2 linked regions of the Ovis aries genome follow. The protein of the gene in region 1 binds, or shares a complex with, the protein of each later gene. Links are inferred from orthologs where the notes say so. Each region holds a gene or a part of one and is shown in the gene's direction. Other genes may lie near its edges. The genes, in order: KIT and SOCS6.

What was found.
Region 2: the proteins of KIT (region 1) and SOCS6 are in contact, whole or in part, in a crystal structure (PDB 2VIF), measured with the Homo sapiens proteins. The link is inferred for Ovis aries from reciprocal best matches to the Homo sapiens genes KIT and SOCS6. Residues at the interface, in NP_000213.1 of Homo sapiens: Asn566, Asn567, Tyr568, Val569, Tyr570, Ile571, Asp572, Pro573, Thr574; in NP_004223.2 of Homo sapiens: Arg391, Glu395, Arg409, Asp410, Ser411, Ser412, Asp413, Ser419, Phe422, Thr428, Leu429, His430, Thr431, Arg432, Phe442, Tyr443, Glu444, Gln445, Val448, His460, Asp464, Ala469, Phe470, Cys471, Tyr472, Ser473, Arg474, Ser475, Arg476, Thr482.

What each region holds. Positions count from the first base shown.
Region 1 is NC_056059.1:70,935,065-70,938,874, forward strand, and holds part of KIT (mast/stem cell growth factor receptor Kit), read left to right. Parts: intron 1-169; coding exon 170-274; intron 275-358; coding exon 359-469; intron 470-1,811; coding exon 1,812-1,962; intron 1,963-3,810. UniProt on the Homo sapiens protein: Tyrosine-protein kinase that acts as a cell-surface receptor for the cytokine KITLG/SCF and plays an essential role in the regulation of cell survival and proliferation, hematopoiesis, stem cell maintenance, gametogenesis, mast cell development, migration and function, and in melanogenesis.
Region 2 is NC_056076.1:7,272,642-7,277,020, reverse strand, and holds the start of SOCS6 (suppressor of cytokine signaling 6), read left to right. Parts: upstream 1-1,274; 5' UTR 1,275-1,370; intron 1,371-1,628; exon of another isoform or gene 1,629-1,829; intron 1,830-4,379. UniProt on the Homo sapiens protein: SOCS family proteins form part of a classical negative feedback system that regulates cytokine signal transduction.

The sequences.
Region 1 (3,810 bases):
TAAGGTTTTTCCTGCAATTTCGCTGCCTTTGGTAGATTTAGTATCAGGTACACTTTAGGGAAGTGTATCTTGACACATTTGTCCCTAATTCCCTTATTGGTTTTGAAATGACACAAATGTTTCTTCAGTTCCACCACCACCACTCACTCCCTTGTCTTCCTTCCTACAGGGAAAACCTTGGGTGCTGGCGCCTTTGGGAAAGTCGTTGAGGCCACTGCTTACGGCTTAATTAAATCGGATGCAGCCATGACTGTTGCTGTCAAGATGCTCAAACGTAAGTTCCTGCAGGCTGTTATGGGTGCTCACCGTCAGTGTCCCAGGTTTGCTTTTTTCTAAAATAAGATGTTTTTAATTTTAGCAAGCGCCCATTTAACAGAACGAGAAGCCCTAATGTCTGAACTCAAAGTCTTGAGTTACCTCGGTAATCATATGAATATTGTGAATCTTCTGGGAGCATGCACCATTGGAGGTAAGGACATGGCCAACCTGCCTCTTGTAATTGGTCAAATTATCAAAAGGTGGGAGATTTTGATATGATTTTTGACAATGCTTGATTATAAGCTCATTGCAGGATTTTGACCCAAATGTTTAACCTTTTGCTGGATTCCCCCCAACCCCATTGAATGTTAAGAATGTATATTTTAATGTTTATAAGAATATATGGGGCTTCTCTGGTGGCTCAGACAATAAAGAATCTGCCTGCAGTGTAGGAGACCCAGGTTCATGTGTCTTGTTCTTAAGAATTATATTTTGTGTTTATCATCGTGGGGTAGAACACCCAGGAGGACGTACCTAGTTACTGTCGTGTATATCACACCAACATTGACCTCTTGAATATCTTGAGAATGTCTCATCTCCTCCAGAAAGCTTTTCTTTTATTTTGCGAGCTTTTATTTAGGCTGGATGACTCTTTAGCCACTAAAGAGTTAATGTTCATGTGCATGCTATCATTGAAAATAGGCCTCCAAGCCTACCAGCCCTCAAATCTACACCAAAAGAGCAAAGACTTCACTTCGATAAAAAAAGAAATTTCCAGTTTTGAAGCATTCATTAGTCCTCCCATCAAGACTTTCTACGATGTTTCCAGAAAACATTTTGGTCCAAAGGAACAAAGATGTATTAAAATGAGCCATTCCTCAAGATCTGGAGAGATCCACGGTCAAGTTGACAGCTTTCTGTAATTTCTTAAAACAGCCCCCATAAATGTTGCTTCACTGACATCATGAATTGTTCATGAGAGATTTTTGCCCAAGTTAGTTAGTTGTTAAATAACTTCAGAGCTATAGTGTTTTAGGCTTTTACAACAGGGAAAGAAAACAGAAGTTCAACTGATAGGGCCCCGAACACACGTGATGGCCCTCCTTTTCAGGGTTTCTCCGCACCTTCCAGTCTCAGCTGGTGGTTCCAGTGGTTGGTTTTCCTATTATGCTGCCGTTTGTGCTTATGCTCATCATCATTTCCATAATGACATTACAAAAGGCGTGAAGCCCTCTCTGTAAACAGAAGTGAATCAGAGGACTCACATAGGAAGCTTGATAACTAATGATGAAGGCTATAACTCCTGTCTAAAACCAGCAGTCATGCCTGACCCCTAATCAGGCAGAAATTCAGGTTACAAAGGTTGTTTGGTTTTACTCCACAGAATCCCAAGTTCTGCTAAGCAATGTTCATAGATAGGATTGTACTCGTGCTTGGTAGGCTTAGCATTGACCCTGAATGTGAATGACTGTGATCGCCCTTGAGTATTTTTATGGAAGACTGGATGGTCTGTATATTTCACCTCCCTCTAATTTTCTCTTAAATGCTCATAGGGCCCACCCTGGTCATTACAGAATATTGTTGCTATGGTGATCTTCTGAATTTTTTGAGAAGAAAACGTGATTCATTTATTTGCTCAAAGCAGGAAGATCATGCCGAAGTGGCACTTTATAAGAACCTTCTTCATTCAAAGGAGTCTTCCTGGTAAGACTGATTGACATAAATAGCTGTTGACAGGCAGTTCATGGGGTCATAAGGGTTTGCAATCAAGGCTGATTCTTTAAAAAAGTGAACTGAGGTACTTTGGGGTGCAAAATCAGAATTATTAAATCATTTAAATGTGATTAACGGTTTAGAAAGTTCAAACTGTTTTTAGAGATTCAAATAGTCTTGAACTTAAATTTTTGTTGCTTTTTAAAAATGTATCTTTAGTGTTCTCTGAACTTTAGTTCTGTTTAGTTGAATGAATTCTGTACCTGTTTCTCTTAGAATGGTTCTTTCCTGTTGGTCATTCTCTTTATACTGTTGAGCCAGGGTCCTATATAATTTCTGTACCTGTTTCTCTTACCGTGGTTCTTTCTTGTGTGATTCTCTTTATACTATACGATAGGGTCCTATATGCATCTTTAGAGTGAGACACACTGTTTATAGGGAACATGGGGAAGGCTGCCAAGTTGTCACAGTGAATTCCTTTAAAACCTTTAACAGAATGGCAGAGAGCTCCAAATAGCTCTCTGCACCAAGGTTTCTCACCATCTACCTCCGAATTATTTCTGTATTCCTTGCCCTCTTTTTCCTTAACTTAGGTTATCAAGAGGCATAACTACTGTAGCATATTTTTTTAAAATTCTGCACCTTATTTTCATCTCTTTTATCCTTGATACCATTCTGAATTTGAATATGTCAAGAGTTTCAAGTTCCTTTAAGAAGTTGCGTAGTTTACAATCAGAATAGAATTCTCTGCCATCTTTGCCTTTTCTTTCCAAGTGTTTAAGATCCACCATTTAAGATTTTCTAGATTTATGCAGCCCTACAGAATCATAGTCATCATGTCTAATCCCTTGTACATTTTATCTCTGCAGTTGTGTGATGGGTTTCCTCTTTCCTTTTTATTTACCATATCCCCTATATTTTGAGAAGGCAAGACTTTGTCTCCTGAACTTAACCCCAGGCCCTGAAGGAGACCTCTTTAAATATGGTTGATGGGCAATTACCTCATAAAAGTGTTTTTCTGTACCTCTGGTTGAAGTTTTAAACCCTAGATGAAGCTTTTTATTTTTTTTCAATCCTGTAAACTTTGAGTGGTGTCAAGTGGCAGTAAAATACAATATAAACCAAACCACCTTTGGTTGTTTCTCTAGCACATATGCTCTTTATATGAATAAATGAACCACTTTGCCTTATTTCTAAAACCTTGGCCCCACACATATTTTTTGATTTTCTGAAATAATGGCCTAAATAGTTCAATCCTGTGTAGTGTTTTTTGTGCTTTGGGATCCCATATGGGATTGGAACCACCAGCACGCTCTGAAGGAGATTGTTGTCATGGTGTTTCTATGCTAATCAGAAGCAGGAAGTACTAGAAATCTTGAAGACTCTCCAGCCAAATGTTACAGATTCAAGAGGTCCAGATGGTTCAGAAAATCATCCAAATTATTGGTGTTTATCTGAACCAAACTTGGCTTTTTTAAACTATCTTCCATCAGTCGCTATATGTTAACGATCCCTGTCTTCCCCCACTAATAACACATCTCAGGAGCGCCGGTTCTTTGTCTCTTTCATTTTATCTCTCTTGAGGCTAATTTAGAGAGTTAGAAGTGATGTGGGATAATGGTTTTGGTTCTCTGTTTCTCATTAAATCCCTGGTGTCGAGAGATAGGACATTTCTAACCAGAGTCCCCTCTACAGTTGAATACAAAAAAAAAGGCCATCTAATTCTTAGGGATTAGACCCCAATGTTGAATATTAAAAACTCATATCTTACTGAACAAGATTTTCTTCATTCAAACTTGGCAATACTTTCTTTAAATAAATCAGCCTCTTATGTAAAAA
Region 2 (4,379 bases), on another chromosome or scaffold:
CTGTCTTCTGGAGAAGCAGCCAGCCCACTGCCACCTTCATGCTCATCAGCCCTGCTCTCTGGCCTCCAACTGCTGGCCTTCTTCAGACCAGCTAAGGAAACACCAGTCCGATTTCCAGTCTGTCCCACGTCTTCTCTTTCTGAACGGGCTTACCACAAGGGGGGTGGGTTGAAAAGTTTGTTTCATCTCTGTTGTTGTTCAGTGGCTCAGTCGTGTCTGACTCTTCTCGACCTCGTGGACTGCAGCAGGCTTCCCTGTCCTTCACTCTTTCTCAGGGTTTGTTCAAACTCATGTCCATTGAGTCGGTGATGCCATCCAACCATCTCATCCTCTGTCCTGTTTCATCTCTAATTAATAAGTACTATTTTCACTAACCTGACTGGTCTATTTCAGTCAACATTCACTGTGATTGGACATCTGAGAACTGAGTTGCATTTAAGTCAGATTAACAATAATAATAGGAGTTTATTTTTACTTATTTTTTGGCCTCTCTCTGGGCATGTGGGGCTATTAGTTCGCAGATCACGGATGAAATCTGCACCCCTTGCAATGCAAGCAGGGAGTCTTAACCAGTGGACCACCAGGGAAGACCCTGCAGGAATTTAACAACAAATTGAAATGAGAGCTAAAGACGACAGCGGTCTGGTGAATCACATGTAACAGATGACATCAACCTTATATATATATACTATTCAGTCATACAAACCAGCTGAATCGCCTGACAATGTAATTTTTAAATTATTAATCTAGATTTGGTGTTTAGATGAGAATTACATATTCAACATTCATAAGAATTAAGATCAATTACTTGAACTTTTAAAAAACTAACAGCTTTACCGAGGTATAACTTCGGAAAAACTTTAAGACTTTCTCCCCCTAGCCTTGTTTCCTTTGTAAAAGCTCCATGCTATTCAAGAAATACAACTTTCAAAGCCAACACTAATTCTCGTTAGACTTTAATGATACTTATCTTTAACTACTTTTCTTCGAATGAAAAGAGAAATAAAAAATAAAAAATGCTTCTCGTTGACAAAAGTCCAATTTGCTGTTAATTCTATATGCAGGTAGCAAAGAATCCACAGAGTTTGGTTCCCAAAAAGTGAGTCAAGTTACCAACACGCAACTTAACATCACGCTCCCTTGGAACTCGGCGGCACAAACAATAAACTATTTCTGCATAAAAAAACCCCACTAACAAGGACTAAAGGGAAAAGCAGATGGGCTGAAACAAGGAGTAAGTTTTTCTTTTAATCAGCACATCTTACGGTTAAGCTAGAGAAAGGTGTGGGAAGGGCCCGGCTCGGGCGCGCGCGCTCGGCCACTCTGTCCCGCCGTCCGCGGGGGCCGGGTGGTCCCGGTCACTGCGCCAGGTAAGCGGACCCTCGACCGCAGGGGACGAGGCCGGGGCCGGCGCCCGAGGGCCGAGGACACGGTCCTTCCCACGTCCGCCCGGCCGCCGCGGAGGCGAGGCTGCAAAGGCGGCGGATGAGCGGGCGGGCGGGCGCGCAGGGGCCGGGGGCGCCCGGAGGGCGGGTGCGGGCGCCCGGACCCCGGCGCGCACCGGCCCCGGCCCCGCCCCGCCCCGCCGGCCCGCCCCCCGCGCCGACGCCTGCCTGCGCCGCGGGCCCAGAGGTGGGCGCGGGGCGGCCCGCTCGGCTCCTCGGCGGCGGCTCCTCTCGGGCCGGCGGCCGGCGCGCCGCTCCTGGAGGAGGCGGCGAGGCGGGAGGAAGAGGAGGAGGAAGGCGGCGGGAGGCGGAGTTGCGGGCGAGCAGGGCCGAGCGCGGCAGTCGCGCCGGCGCGGGGCGAGGACGCGGAGCGGCCGCCGCCGGGTGAGCGTCTGCGGCGCGGGGCTGGGCCGCCCGCCCGCTCCCCTCGGGCGCCGGGGGCGCCGCGGCTCCGCGGGGCGGCGCGGGGCTGCTCCGGCGCGGGCGGCCCGGGGAGCGGCCAGGGCCTCGGCGGGTCCGCGGGCGGGCTTCGGGCCGGCGGGGAGCGGCGTCCGGGAAGCCGGGCCGGGGCGCCGGGCTGGGGAGGCCCGAGGCCTGCTTCCGCCGCGCGCGCCGGCCCGACCCCGCGGCCTCTGGCCCTTCGCCGCGCGCGCCGGGCCCTGGCCGCTGCCTTTGTTGCCCGCAGCCCGGCAGGGAGAGGCCGGGGCTCGGCGAGGCCTGGGGCGGCGGCGCGGGGCCTGCGCGCTCGGACCCCGGGGCCGGCGGGCGCGCGCGGGAGGCCCGGGCCGCGGCGTGGCCGGGACCCCGGTGGGCTCCGCGCGGGGACGCGCCGCCGGACCCTCGTGGCCGTGGGCACGGGAGGACGTGAGCCCGCCCTCGGGTCCGGGCCGGGTCGCGGTGTTCGGTTCGCTTCGCGGACACCTTGGTGCCTCCCTTCTGGGTCACATCTATTGACATTTGTCCCGGGGCAGGTCCCGGCCCAGAACTTGGAACGTGTGCGGTCGTCTGCAGGCCAACTTCACGTTTAGTCGGCATGTGGAATTCGGGGTTCCCAGCCCCACTTTTTGGAACTCAGGGCCAGGTGGGAATATGGGGACAGACCTCAGGCTTCCGGTAGTGAAATATAATAATGTTGGATTCAGTTCCACGAATGTTTTCTTGAAACGTCTGCCCTGGAAAAGGAGACCTGCCACTTTACTGTGGATGAGGATGGAGAACGTAGTAATCACAGTTACGATGTGAATGAGACATAAAACGTTGCCCAAATACGTTCTTCATGGACTGCGGTCCTTGGCTGCACACATGTCTGTCATCAAACAAAAGTAAACTGCCCTCTCCTTTAAGATGAAACGGCCGAGGTGTTCCCAGCCGCAGTAGGTGTGCAGTGATCTTGACTTTTTTTTTTCTTTTTCTGGTTAAAGCAACAAATATCACAACATGAAATCTACTTAGCTTACTTGAATGAATGAGTGTTCAGTGGAATATGTAGTGCTGTGGGGAATGTTTTATTTAAAAACATGAATGGCGCTGTTTATCAAGTTTCACAGAGAAAACCTGGAAACAGCCTGTGATCTGCTTCCGGTGCGGTCTTATTCCTCAGTATTTCTGCATCAGGTAGCATGGATATGGTTAAGTTTCAGAGGCCACGCCTGCTCCAAGCAGAATATGTGACCAACCCTTTGGTTCCGACAGGGTCCCTCAGGGTTTCTTGTTGCCTTTGGGGAGGCTGTCAGACTGGCCTTGGACTTAACTAGGATTCTTAGAAGAGCTCACCTGTGACCTGACAAGTACTTTCTACCGGTCTGGATAGGATCCCCCATCTTATTCACCGAAACCTTTACCTTTTGGGGGCCTTCCTTCAGTATCTCTTTTGAAGAACTTTTTCCCCTTGTGATCTTTAAATACCTCCTGAATTGGTGGGAAGTACCTGGCACTGCCCCTTTCCCTTCTCTTACTGGGAAGGTGGGCAGGCCTTAGACATGGCCTCCCCAGGACCCAGGGGCACACCCTTGGGTGTCACCTGACACCCTCCCCTGTAGCACCTTGTCGGGGAGTGGCCCAGCAGGGGTTGAGGTGCCATTGACCTGGGCTACAGCCAACCTGGGCAGTGCCCTGGGAGGAAAACTCAGCTGTGCTGACTGGATTCCTAATCATCTCAGGCTTCTTTTAATGGCCCTCTTTTTAGGGAGCAGAAGCAAGCATCTTCTTAAAGCCTGTCTTGCTAGGTAACCATCACTCTTTAGAGAAAACTCTGGTAATTTTCTCCCTTGTGATCAGTTTTCAAGAAGCTGTTTTTTTTTTACTAGTATTTCCTTTTATTTGGCTCATGGAAGTAATCCTGTGATCTTATTTCAGAGTTATAATGTAGCTTCCCTGGTGGCTCAGATGGTAAAGATTCCGCCTGCAATGTGGAAGATCCGGGTTTGATCCCTGGGTTGGGAAGATCCCCTGGAGAAGAAAATGGCAACCCACTCCAGTGTTCTTGGCTGGGAAATCTCAGTAGTCTGGTGGGCTACTGTCCATGGGATCGCAAAGAGTTGGACACACTGAGCGACTAATACAGTACTCCAAAAAAAAGGAAACTGTCAGGATCATTTCTGAGTTTGTGTCAATACTGTTATTATTCGCTCATAAATATGCAGTCGTGCAAAATGGGTCATGCACACACACAAGATACATACAAATATGTTGACGTATGAGGTCAAGTATTCAACAAATATGTTGAAGTATGAGGCATCCCTGGTTGCTCAGATGGTAAAGAATCTGCCCACAATGCAGGAGACCTAGGTTCAATCCCTGGGTTGGGAAGATTCCTTGGAGAAGGGAATGTCTACCCACTCCAGTATTCTTGCCTGCAGAATCCCATGGACAGAGGATACTGGCAGGCTGTAATCCATGGGGTTGCAAAGAGTTGGACATGGCTGAGCAACTAAC